2 linked regions of the Rattus norvegicus genome follow. The protein of the gene in region 1 interacts with the protein of each later gene in a biochemical or structural test. Links are inferred from orthologs where the notes say so. Each region holds a gene or a part of one and is shown in the gene's direction. Other genes may lie near its edges.

Region 1 (6,666 bases):
GTTACAGAGTACCGTTGCGGGGTGGGGTATGTGTGAGTCCCTGCCTAAGGCTGACCTGAGACCTGAGGTTCTAGGGAAGAAGCTCCGAGCGGAGGATGTGTTGACATCACCAGTGCTAAGGCCTTTCATAGCTGTCTACTTACGCGCCCCGTCTGTCAGAGGACTGTCATTCTTGTTTGTTTGTTTTGTTTTGTTTTGTTTTGGTGAGCAGGAGCCCACACTCGGCAAGGACTTGTAAGTCCTTGCTGGGAGCAGCTGTGTTTGCCGTCTGACCCTCCCTCCCCATTAGATTCTGTCTCTAGGGTGCTGAGTTTTATCATATGTCATTTCCTTTGGTTCATTAATTAACATGTGCAGGGACAAGGAGTGAAATCTTACTACTTTGCATAGCCACACATGATTAAGGACGTGTATGCATTTAGTGATACAAAAGTCTTGGTGGAGACGAAAGACAGACAAATACACTGACAGTTGAAAGCTTGCCGAATTGAATATCAGGTATGCACATCGAAATGTGTATTTCAGAGCAGCCTCCTAGCTCAGCTGACGTACTGAGGAGTGTGGGTGGGAGCATGGGGTGGGGAGGGGGGAGCTGAGGAGATAAGGGGTCCGGGTACATGGGCCCACACAGCCCTGTGCATGGAGGTCAGAGGAGGGCCTCAGGTGTTTCCTTTACTGTTTATTGCCCTTCTCCCCTGAGACGTGATCTTTCACTGACCTGGAGGCTGCTGTCTGGGCTGGGTCAGCCAGCCAGAGCTTGAGCACCTGGGATCTGCTGTCTCTGCCCGCCTGGAGTTACAGTGGCATGCTTCCGTGCCTGACCTTTTATGTGGTACTACTGAGGAACCAAACTTAGGCTCTCAGGCCATTCACAAGACCTCCTCTCCCCGAGCATCCCTGTAATCCTGGAGTATCTTTCTGAGGGATAGTCCTTTAATGTGAACCTCTATTTTTCTAAACCTGAATCTCTGTCGTCATCATCATCATCGTCATCGTTGTCGTCATCATCATCTGGTGAGGCCATGATAACAACATTGAAGATGGTTTAGAAACAAGACAATAGACATTACCTTCATTTGTATCCTAATAAGACTTTTTATCTTATAGCGTGTGTGAAGATTGAGCTTATAAGTCATTGTTGAGAATAAAAACCCCGGATACATCCAGTGTCAGTTGTTTTTTAAATTTCACCAAATTACATGAGGTGTCAGCTAAAGGTTTGGGTCAAGTTTGCTGTCAGTGTCCTGAGAGTATTCTGTATTCATTGGAACAGTCAGTCCGTCCTTCCATATGTCCATCCTCCCTCTCTGATGTTTCAGCAAGGGTTTACACTATCGGAACATAAGGAACTGAAACAATAGCCACCCCCCCACCCCCCACCCTGGAGCTGAGGACCGAACCCAGGGCCTTGTGCTTGCTAGGCAAGCGCTCTACCACTGAGCTAAATCCCCAACCCTAGCACCTCTTATTTTATCCCCAGAGGCTTCCTAGGCCTCTGGAAACAGTCCTCGCAGCTTTATCTCCATAACCAGACTGGGCCATTGAGACGTGGAGCCCAGACTGGCTCTGTCCACCCTTCAGCATCTCCCTGGTTGCTGATGCTTACTGACCTTTGATGACTGTGGTCCCTGTCATTATTGTCTTGGACAGACTCTGTCATTTTTTCTTTTTACCGTAACATTTGGAGGTTTGTAGATGTTGTTACCGTGAGCACTGCCCTGTAAGGAGTATTGTATCAAAATAGGTGAATTCCAAAGCTTGAAGAAAATAAAAAAAGAGGTCCTTCTGTCATGCACATTCTTTTTAATGTACTTTTCAGTTATGTACACACATACTACATATGTCTATATAGTGTGCATACGCACTATGTATAGTGTGCATATGCGCATTATAGCTTATATAGTATATGCATATAGTATATAGTATATTATAGTATATATATGTACATACATACATGCATACGTGTGTGTGTGTGTGTGTGTCTGTGAGAGAAAGAGAGAGAGAGTCCCCTCCGTCCCATTCCTGTCAGCCTCTTGTCAGCTCCCTTCCTACCTTAACAGAGTCTTTTTGTTTTGTCTTTGTTGCCTTTTACTCTAATGGGTAGAGGTTGGGGCTCCGTTACTTGAGCAAGGGCGACTTAAACCCCGTGGCTCAGCGCTGGGGAATACATCAAGCCGCTCACTTTGGTTTCTGGTTTCCATTGTGTAAGGCGTTGCAGTGGTTTTTAAGGTGTATCTTCCTGTAGCCACACCACAAGGACCGACCGCCGTCACTGGGCATGGTTGACCCCAAGAAAGCTCTGGGTCTAGTTCGATAGCTTGCACACCAGGTGTGACCCGCAGGACTAATTGAAGGTTTCGGAGAATAACTATATAGATGAGTCTAAACTTTCGACAGAATTCCCTTTGCAGCCACAAATAGCAGGGCTATTTTTATTGTGGCGTACACAGACGAGGAGCGGCTTGATATTAGAAGAAAGGCTTTATTTTGCCAAGACGGCTCACGCTCAGCACAGTCCTTGTTTTTCTTGGCAGGGACTTCTCAGCCATCTGCGAGTCCAGGGGAGCCGTCTCCACCATCCATCCAGCCGGCCCAGTCAGAGTTAATAGTTGAAGCCGGCGACACCATCAGGCTGACGTGCACTGACCCCGCCTTTGTCAAATGGACTTTCGAGATCCTCGATGTAAGGATTGAGAATAAGCAGAGCGAATGGATTCGAGAAAAAGCCGAGGCCACTCACACGGGCAAATACACGTGCGTCAGCGGCAGCGGCCTCAGGAGCTCTATTTACGTGTTCGTTAGAGGTAAACGCTCCCGTTTTCTGTGTCGCTGTGCTCTGGAGTGTTCGCTACCCTGTCCTTACTTTTAAGTGGCCGCGTAGTTGACCAGAGCACAGGCAGAATTTTGCTAGCTGGTTCAAGGAGGCCTAATGTACTTGTTTTTCTTCCCCAACTTCCTCATGGCTTTGGGTGTGACCCCAGCTGGGGGTCTGCAAGGCCAGAACTGGATTCCAGTCTGGTTAACCCATTTGTCCTGGTGCTTTGGGGTCAACCCTGAGAAGAAATTAGGCCCTTTGGGAAAACTGTATTTAAATGCCTGGAGATACTAAATATTCCCACTTAGTAAAAAACACTTCAGGGAGCCGAAGGCCTCAAAAGGCCCGAACAGAGTAGCACTTCAAAAGACTTAGGGAGTAAATTCCAGAAAACAGCTCAGACAGCTAAGCATCCCTTGTCAGTCATAAGCTCTCTCGGAGTTGGTTCTTTTCAACAATTTACAGCCTCTCGGAAACAAAAGACAAAGAGACGTGACAGTTGGAGCCCTGTACCTCATTTTCTAGACGAATTCAGCAGTTTGTAGTTGCGTGTTTGCTCTCATGTCAAGAACCCACAGGATGCTATCCTTTGGGTGATGTGAAACAACGCTAATGACTGTCTAAGAGACAAACGAGAAGGCAGGAAAAAGGCAGTCCAGGCGGTAGCACCAGTTGTACCGGGACTGGGTCTGTCACTTACAGTGGGCAGTTCTGTGAGTCTCTGGTGGATGTCTGCCTGGGCCTGGGAGGTGTGCTGCGTAGGGCCTCCATTTCTCACTGTGGGCCTCAGATAAGATGAGCAGTCTCCCTCAGGGGATTGTTAGGGAAACACAATTATACAAATCTTAGCATGCTCAAACAGGGGTTAATAAAGCTGCCTCGGAAGATCGCCGTGAAATTGACTGTGCTTTTGCTTTATCAGTCGTCCTTCCTTAAGTGGGCAGCTGAGGAGACGTGCTCAGCGATAAGCCACAGCTTAGCTTGAGGGTTCGGCTCCGGGACTGTCGGGCCCACCCGAAAGCTGCTGGTGACATTGGAGAAGACATTTTGTAATTTCCAAATGGTAAGGAAGGCGCCATTCAGCTTCATGGCAAGCTGTGTAGATGCCTGCATGTCTGAGGAGATGGCTGAGGGAGCCACTCAGCTCGCACCCTTTCTTCATGTTCGGACCCTTAACTAATGGATGCTGCGGAGAGGAAAGGGAGAGGAGAGGAGGGAGGCTCCTCCACCCTGGTGACTGAGAAAGTATAGACAGAAAACCACCTGCAGCTTCTGATGTTTGTTTTAATTAAGTGACATATATTTCAGTGGTAACTGATTCTGTTGGTGTGTCTATAACATTTGGTTTCCAGGTAGAAAGGATAATTTGGAAACAGAATTTCAGAGGGCTGAGGCGGTAGCTTGTCAGTCAAGTGACATGAGGACCTGCGTTTGATCCTTAGTTACCCACATGAAAAGCTGGGGTGCTGGAGGCCGGTGAGGAAGCTCAACCCTTAAGAGCACTGGCTGCTTTTGCTGAGGACCCAGTTTGGTTCGCAGCACCCACACTGGGCAGCTCACTGGCACTCAGAATTTCAGTTCCGGGAGATCAGAAGCTCCACTCCGGCCTTAGGTCTGCATGCGCAGGGTCTACGTATGGATAAGCTAGCTCAGACTTGTACATGATGAACAAAAGAGCGAACTTTGAAATCCACTGTGTTATTCAAGCTTGTAATCTCTTAAGCCTGTAATCTCAAGCTTGTAATCTTTTAAACATGTTTTCAGAGAGTAGGTTGTGGCGGAACACGCCTTTAATCCCCGCTGAGACAGGTGGACCTCTGAGTTCGAGGCCGGCCTGGTCTACAAGCAAGTTTCCAGACTAGCCAGGGCTGCATTGTGAGACGCTGTGGAAACAAGCCAGCAAGCAAGGTGCCTTCAGTGTCCAGGTCCAGCACGTTGGCTTTTTGTCTTGCTTCACAGATCCTGCCGTACTTTTCCTGGTTGGCCTTCCCTTGTTTGGCAAAGAAGACAATGACGCACTGGTCCGCTGCCCCCTGACAGACCCACAGGTGTCCAATTACTCCCTCATTGAGTGTGATGGGAAATCTCTCCCCACGGACCTGAAGTTCGTCCCCAACCCCAAGGCTGGCATCACCATCAAAAACGTGAAGCGCGCCTACCACCGGCTGTGCATCCGGTGTGCTGCCCAGCGTGAGGGCAAATGGATGCGGTCTGACAAATTCACCCTCAAAGTGAGGGCAGGTACGTCCCCTCCCTCACATCTTGTGGGAGATGGAAACCCTATTCCCGGGGATGACGTCTCTCTTCCCAACTTAGCCTAGGGCATCAGGACACAGCTGATGGACACAGGACCAGGACCAGGTGATGGTAGACATTCGTGAGTTCCTCCAGAGTGACAGGTCCATGGCTCTTGCTAGCTAAGATGTCGTTAAACCTGCTGGTTTAGGGCATCCCCAAGTGACATCCTTGCCACAAGTGTCCCTACTCAATGGGAAGATTTAATTTGAGGACCTTAGTCTACAAGGACATTAATATGTATGAACACGTGACCTGATTTTTTTTTTCCCTATAGCTGACTGGCTCCCAAGCCGCTCACGCTCTGGGAAAGAAAGTGCCTACAACCCGGGGAACTTGTTACCATGACATCACCTTGAACCCTCCAGTAGCCAGGAGATAAACTAGGCTTTAGAGTTGAGATTCCCTAATTCAGCATCCCTTTGGGATTCAACTGATGAGGAGAATTTTTAATTTGCTTTTGAAAAATTATACTCATTAAAATGAAGGGAATTTTAATTATTTATAACCTGGGGTTTTTAGAAGTAAGCAAGGTGTGATTGTATAATATATGGGAAAAGGACCCATTTGGCTATAAAAGAATACTATTGGCTGTAGGCTAGGTCCTCAAGAAATCATCTAGGGTAAAGATTAAGTCTGCTTTATCATGCTACCCTCTTCCACCCGAGGGGAAATGCCAGAGGTATTTATGGTCTTGTACTGGGCACTCCTGTCTTTTTCACTCAGCAGGAATGACTTTACTTGTACAGTGAATGACTTCATAGTTCTATATTTAGATATGCAAATGATACAGGTTGGTTAGTATTATTATGCTTTGTATTTTATTTAATGATACCTAACACAAGCTGTGCACAGTCAAGAAAATGCAAGGTTGAGTCTGGAGAGGTGGCTCAGAAGTTAAGAGTGCTTGCTGCTCACTCTTCTAAGGGATCCACTCAGATCCCAGCTCCCGACATGGGCCAGTAACTCCAGCCCCAGGGTCTTCCACACCCCCCCACTTGACTTTCTCAGGCACCCTCGCACATGGCATATGCATCCAAAGATACACACTAATAGATAAAACAAAAGTCATTTTTAAAAAGAAAAAAAGCATGTTAAATATAAGACGAGTTTAGGTTCCCGCTGTAGCAGAAGGACTGACTTCGGGGCTGTATTCCTTTCCGTTCTAGCCATCAAAGCTATCCCAGTGGTGTCTGTGCCCGAAACAAGTCATCTCCTTAAGGAAGGGGACACATTTACGGTGATATGCACCATAAAAGACGTGTCTACATCCGTGGACTCCATGTGGATAAAGTTGAACCCTCAGGTGAGTTCTGTTTAATTCCTCTCCTGTGCTGCAGTGTCTGTGTTCTCTACACAGTTGGACCAGGGGTGAGTCTGCTGGTAAGCCTAGCTGTTAGCAACTGGCTGAGGTGTGTTCACATACTGGCTAGCTGTGTATATTACAGCATAGGTGTTTACTGTCAGTGATGAGTAACCGCCACATTGTTACTGTGTTTGAGAAAAGAGAGGGCATCTGTCTCAGGTTATTACTTAACACTCTTTTAAATTAAAAA
Region 2 (6,666 bases), on another chromosome or scaffold:
TCTTCTTTGCTGGTTTTTGAGATAAGGGGGTGTTTTACTTTTTGGCAGTGGGGATTAATGGACGAGGGTCTCATCTTTGCAAGGCAAGAGCTCAACCACTGAGTTGTAGCACAGTCTTGCTGTGTAACCCAGGCTGGCCTCAAACTCTAAATCTTGCTGCCTCAGCCTCCCACGTGCTGGGACTACAAGTATGTGCACCACACATCCAGCCTTGTATTTCACTTAGTCAACACTAAATTTGTCAAAATTAAGATTCTTTATTTACCCTGTAAGGCAGATTTTTTCCCCTCTCAAATAATAAAGCACATGTGCTTCCCTGGACTGCAGAGATGTTCGTAACACTTAGTCTATGCTGCAGACCACTGATGATGGGCCTCGGAGGTTCTGCAACTCTAGAGATCCTCTGTAAGGGTCTGAGCCAGGATCCAAGCCAGGGAATCCAGCTTTTGAGTACATGAGAGAGAATTGATTACACTGGTTTGTTGACACCAACAAGCACTGAGTCTTTGAAAAATACCAGAAAGGACAAAGACCATAAAGAACATGTTAGGATGATACCAAATAGAAAGTGGTAACATGGAGATGCTCCGAGACTCTGTATCTCTGTCCTCCCATCATGCACCACTGCTCCAGGCTGTCTAGAAACAATCCAGGAGTCAGTGATTGTGAGCCCAGCACACAACAGGTGTACACAACTGTCTGTTCTGTTCTTATAGGGACTACTAGTCTTAGTAAGGCACTGCAAAAGAAAATGCCTGCAAAGACATAGTAAAGATAATGTTTTCAAGCAGTGGCTATGAACCCCTAGCAGTTCCACAATGCTGGAGCTACAGACTGCGCCAAGTCTTGCTTTCCTCGAAGGAAATTAAATATAATTCTGGTTGTGGATCTAGTTCAGTAGTCAAATGTGTACTTAGCACTCATTCCGGCACTAAAAATTAAGTAGGTACATTTAAATGAAATAATAAATATGGCCACTCAAACTTAGAATGGACTTACTAAAGAAAAGCCTGAACTGTGTTGTAGAGAAGGCTTGGTGTGACGTTTTGATACTGTATGTTTGGTTTCGTTTTCTGAGATGGGGTCCTATATTGATGTCCAGGAGTTTAAAGCTAAACTCCTTGATTCAAGAGATTCCCCTATCTCACCTGAGAATACAGGTGCATGCCAGCATACTAAACTCTAGATAAAATTTCAGCAACCCTTTTGAAAGGCCAACAGTGTAAGAAAATAGTACACCGCACCCTTTCCCGTTTAAAGTTGAGCTGATTACAGTGCCCCCTGGAGGTTCTAGAAGAAACTGCTTCTAAAGAAAGGAGGACCCTAAAGGGAAGGGCAAGGGAGGTGACTCTGTTCGAATGACATTTGACACCATGTCCATTTTGATTGTGCATGTATCTTTTCTATTCCAAGTAAATTACTTGAATTTCTTTTAAAAAAAAAGTCAAGGAAGAAAATTACCTCTAACCCATTAGCTTAAACCTGGAGTAAGAGCCCATGTCTTCCTCTTCAGGTGCCAAGTTCCCTATCAAGTGGACGGCTCCAGAGGCCATCAACTTCGGCTGCTTCACTATCAAGTCTGACGTGTGGTCCTTCGGAATTCTCCTGTACGAGATCGTCACCTATGGGAAGATTCCCTACCCAGGTATCACTTCCCCACACCCCCCTCCAGTGCGAGGGAAGAACCAAGCACCCCGAAGACAACAGTCTCGTCTACCTGTGCTCCTGACAGCTTGGGGTCGTTACCTTTTATGCAAATCTTGCTGAAAGATGCTTAGATGCTCCTTTGTCTCTACTCACTCTTCACCCTGTGCACTCGGCACTGCTCTGGGTGTTTCGGTGAGGCAGATTAGACACGAGTGTGCCCCTCTCTGCCAAAACGGGGCTCCAGATGGGGCAGAACATGTACAAGGAACGAGGGTCTTCAATGTCTTCTGCTAGTGGTGAGAACTGAGGTTAAATATTGGGCTGGTATGGTTAACTTGAAAGGTCAGTTGGGTCTAACATTGGTTTGTGTGCATGTTGTTGACTTCTCAGCCTACCTGTGCAGCTCTTTCTGCCGGTTATGGGATCTGAGGACCTGAAGGAATAGGGCAGACTACAGTCGGATGCTTCAGAAACCTTATTTAAGTTTCAGTGTAGTTTTATATACAAATATAACAACAACAACAAAAAGGCAACGATCCAAGGAAGGTTGTGTGAGGTCAGAAAACCATGCAAACAAGCATCAATAAGCACATACTATATATTAACAGAGTAGCCCTTTCCCAGAACTTTCTCAGGACAGACCAATCTAAACACTATCATCTGGCGCATACTATAGATTATAGTATATCTGGGAAAGCAAGGCAGAAAGCAGCATGCAGATTCAGTGTACACTGACCAGACTTGGTGCTATAGTTATGTTCTGCATCCAGCAAGCATAATCATGTCTTATAAATTGAGTGTAAATGTTTAACACAGTAGGCACGAAGCCATATCCAAGAACAAGCCAAGGAACAAAGTGCTCTTGAAGTAAAAGGCCCTTTTCCGTTTTCCCTGGAGCCTCTCTCACAGTTCCCCAAGGTATTTTCACTGTGGGTCATTCTTTGGCCACGTTCAGACAGTATGTGCATGTTAACATGAAGGAGTTATTTAGAAGCATGCTGGCGCATGCGTGTGTATGAGTGCCAATACACATGTATACATACACGTGCTTGTAGAGGCCAGAGAACAGCACTGAGTGTCATTGTTTAGTGCCGTCAATTGAGTTTGAGATAGTCCCTCAGCCTGGAACTTGCCAAGTAGGCTAGACTGACTGGCTAGTAAGCCCCAGAGATCTGCTAGTCTTACCTCCACCGCCTCCCAACCCCCACTCTCCCCCTGAGTTCGTATTACAAGTGTGTGCCAGCTTCCTTGGCTTTTTTTTTTTAAATATTTATTTATTTATTTTATGTACAGCATTCTGCCTGCATATGTGACTGCAGGCCAGAAGAGAGCACCAGATCTCATTACAGATGGTTGAGAGCCACCATGTGGTTGCTGGGAATTGAACTCATGACCTCTGGAAGAACAGTCAGTGCTCTTAACCCCTGAGCCATCCCTCCAGCCCCACTTCCTTGGCTTTTAATGTAGGCTCTGAGAATCTAACTCAGGCCACGGTGCCTATGAAGCATGCCTAGTTTTGCTTTTGCAAATCTATGCCTTCTTGACATGCATACCCGCTCTAGAACATACGAATTGAGATGCTCCAAGTTCCTTCTGTCCTAATTTGCTGAGAAAGAGGCACATAAAACACTGTGGTTTAAAACAGCGGGAGTTCCACACTATTATGGATGCTCAAAAAAAAAAAAAATCCAAGAGATCAAGAGTTGGTAAGGCAGATTTCATCTGAGGTCTCTCTCGCTGGATAGCAGATGGCTGTCTGATCCAGTTGGCATTCTGTGGTCTTCCATGTGTCTGCAATGTGATCACCTCTTCTTGGAACGATCCCAGTCACATTGGATCAGAACCCAGCTACAGGGTTCATTTTAAGTTAATCATCTCTTTATAGACCTGATCTCCAATCACAGCCCCACTCTGGCAGTTAAGACTTCAATCTGTGATTTGAGGAGAACGTACCCCACCCTTGCAGCGTTGTGCCATTGAGCCAGGCTTCTAAACTCAACATGATCGCTTTTGTTTGTTTGGGCCTTAGGGAGAACTAACGCAGATGTGATGACCGCACTGTCACAGGGGTACCGAATGCCACGAATGGAGAACTGTCCAGATGAGCTCTATGACATCATGAAAATGTGCTGGAAGGAATCAGCAGAGGAGAGGCCAACCTTTGACTACTTACAGAGTGTACTGGATGACTTCTACACTGCCACGGAAGGGCAGTATCAGCAGCAGCCATAGTGGGCATGGAGACCAGCCCACTGGAGCTCATAGGAAAAGCAGCCGTGGCGGAGAATACCAGGACCCTCTGTGTTCCTGGTTCCTGTGGACAGGATGCATTAACTCAGGAAGAACATCCTGGACAGAGGATGCTGTTTCATACATGGGTGGCCACTGCTCAGTGGGACCACGGTCAGAATACAAACACCCCCTCTCTCCAATAAGCACACTGGCTCTACGTGGGCCAAGTGACTCAGGTTCAGAGACTTGCAACAAATTCCCAGATGCAACAAGAACTAAACTCACTTAGCGAAAGTAAACCCCGTGCACAGCAGATGCTCCCTTACCTTCTCAGTGCTTTGGCTTACTTTCTTAAAAACTACTAATCCAGCCTGTTGAATTTTACAGGCGAAGGCCACGAGCTTTAAAACATCTTCTCTAAATTCGAATGGTTTTTTTTTTTTTTTTGGCTTGGGAAGTTTGATTCCTCCTCACCTCCCACCTCACCCCCCAGAAAATGAGACGATTAAACATTTTCCTTTGCGGTAAGATCACTGGACCTAAGGCAGCACTCACTCCCCCTGCAGGAGCGCTGTGCGTGGGTGGGCACGCAGAAGGACCTTTGCTGAACTGGAGCCCTTTGGACAGAAAAGCCTCAAGTTCTGCCCTGTAGAGGAATGTTTGTAATGGTCCAGGTATTTCAGTCACAGGTTTCTCTCAAGGCTTTCCTGATGGTGTCCTTTGGGAGAAACGTAAGCGTCTCTCCTAGTCTGTCAGGACTTTATGAGACCCTCCAAAAATACAAAGCATTTCTCTCATTGCCTCAAATGACTTGAACATTTTATAAATCATATAGTATAGTCGTACTCTAAGGAAGTTAAAATGCCATGTTGGGGGCTATTTTTGTGACTCAGTAATCTTTTCTAAATTGTGTGGGAGACTATTTACACGTGAAGGTAGGAAGCAGGCAATCATGGAGAAGCCTCTGGTGACCAGAGCAGTTTCGTTACCTGGGTTTTTCCCCTGTAAACTCCCATTAGAAACTGCTGTGTCTGTCCCTTTCACTGGTGTTACTGTGTACATACCTAATATTTCTATTTTTGATTTTATTTTAATACACCCAATAACATCTTGAGGTCTTTGTCTCGTGTATCAGATTCCAACTCCTGTCCGTGCATAAGTAAGAGCCGGTTGGTGGGGAAAGGGCAGGGAGTCATTCTGTGCAGTCACATTGCAGGAGCTTGTGGAGTCTGCGCCTCCAACGCTGGCGTGTTTCCGGTTGGACGCTGGGGTGTTTCCGGTTGGAGGGCTGAGGAGTTGATGCCTGGATGCCCAAGGAACAGGCTTTGCAGGCACCTTTACTGTTGTAATCTGTGTGTTTATTTGAAGCTCTGGGTGCCTAGGGGAAGGGATTGAACGTCTCGTGTTTGTCCAACTTTAATGTGTGTTTTCCCTGATTTTTTTAAAATAGTATCCTTTCAAAGTATTCTAAAGCCCTTCATTCCCAAGTGCCCTGTTTACAAACATGGCATGTGCGTCTTTGGTTACCTGATTTACAATAGCGGTTTTCTGAGGCCCTTCCCACCCCGCACTCTCCACACACTCATTTCGGACTCCCCTGCATTGTCTACTTCATGGGAAGGAAGAGTGAAGAATCCTTAAAGTTAAAGAAATCGCTAAAACATGGCTCAGGATGCATTTTCATTTTCTCTTACTTCTCCCGATCCAGCTTCTTTTTTCCATTTCCATTTCTCTCCTATCGAGTATTTGATCCTTTCTTCCTCATGCTTGCTTCATCAGGAGATAGCAGGTTTGCTGGGGGGGGGGGGGGGGGGGACGGCTCAGTGTGTAAAATGCTTGCTAAGTCTAAGGATCTTCATTTGCACCCCCAGAACTTGTGTAAAACAAAAGGTACTTTGTGCAGTTTCAGTGTTCCTACTGGAGTGGGAGTCAGATACAGGACAGTCCCCAGAAGCTTGAGGTCCAGTTAGCCAGGCATATGCAGCAACAAGCAAGAGACCCCAAAAAGATGAAGGTGAAAAGACCAAAACCCAAGTCTCTGACCACTCAAATGCACACACACATCCATAAGTGTGTGTGTGATGTGTGTGTGTGTCATAATACATCACACACATATCATACACACACATATCTCACACACACATATATACACATCACCTGCACATCATCTACACATACACACAAATTACCTATCATACACACATATCTCTCTCTCCCCCTCCCTTCCTCCTCCCTCCCCAACCCTTCCCCCTTCCCCCACCTCTCTCTCTCTCTCTCTCTCTCTCTCTCTCTCTCTCTCACACACACACACACACACCTACACACACACACACACACACACACAGAGAGAGAGAGAGAGAGAGAGAGAGAGAGAGAGAGAGAGAGAGAGAGAGAGTTCTAAACTCATTTCCATCCTCGCCCCCTTTCTAATCAGCAGAACCACAGGGCTAAGATGTTGAATGAAATGAAATGCTCTTCCGACTGCTGGCTCCGGCTCTCCTGGTTTTACCACCAGCAAAGCCAGCAGCTAAACCCCACCTCCTGGAGGCTCCCTTCCTTCTTCCCCTCCTCCCAGTGGGAGGGCAACTCCACATTTTCCTACTTAAACCTTTTAGATTAGGAGCTGGCAAGTCTTGCTACTTTTGCTAAGGGAAATGTTGACTCTGAGTACACCTGCCATTTACCCCAGGCTTTTTTTTTAACTTTGGCACTTTATCAAAGTTTTCTCCATTTCACACAACAGCCCTGAAATTCTTAAAAGATCTAATTTCATGACTGAGCGATCCA

The links. The genes of interacting proteins can lie anywhere in the genome.
Region 2: the proteins of Kit (region 1) and Lyn form a complex in vitro, tested with the Homo sapiens proteins (2 studies listed by BioGRID and IntAct, with this or other methods). The link is inferred for Rattus norvegicus from reciprocal best matches to the Homo sapiens genes KIT and LYN.

The regions. Positions count from the first base shown.
Region 1 is NC_086032.1:32,943,345-32,950,010, reverse strand, and holds part of Kit (mast/stem cell growth factor receptor Kit precursor), read left to right. Parts: intron 1-2,534; coding exon 2,535-2,804; intron 2,805-4,774; coding exon 4,775-5,056; intron 5,057-6,279; coding exon 6,280-6,416; intron 6,417-6,666. UniProt on the Homo sapiens protein: Tyrosine-protein kinase that acts as a cell-surface receptor for the cytokine KITLG/SCF and plays an essential role in the regulation of cell survival and proliferation, hematopoiesis, stem cell maintenance, gametogenesis, mast cell development, migration and function, and in melanogenesis.
Region 2 is NC_086023.1:21,547,558-21,554,223, forward strand, and holds the end of Lyn (tyrosine-protein kinase Lyn), read left to right. Parts: intron 1-1,513; coding exon 1,514-1,645; intron 1,646-3,676; coding exon 3,677-3,879; 3' UTR 3,880-5,540; downstream 5,541-6,666. UniProt on the Homo sapiens protein: Non-receptor tyrosine-protein kinase that transmits signals from cell surface receptors and plays an important role in the regulation of innate and adaptive immune responses, hematopoiesis, responses to growth factors and cytokines, integrin signaling, but also responses to DNA damage and genotoxic agents.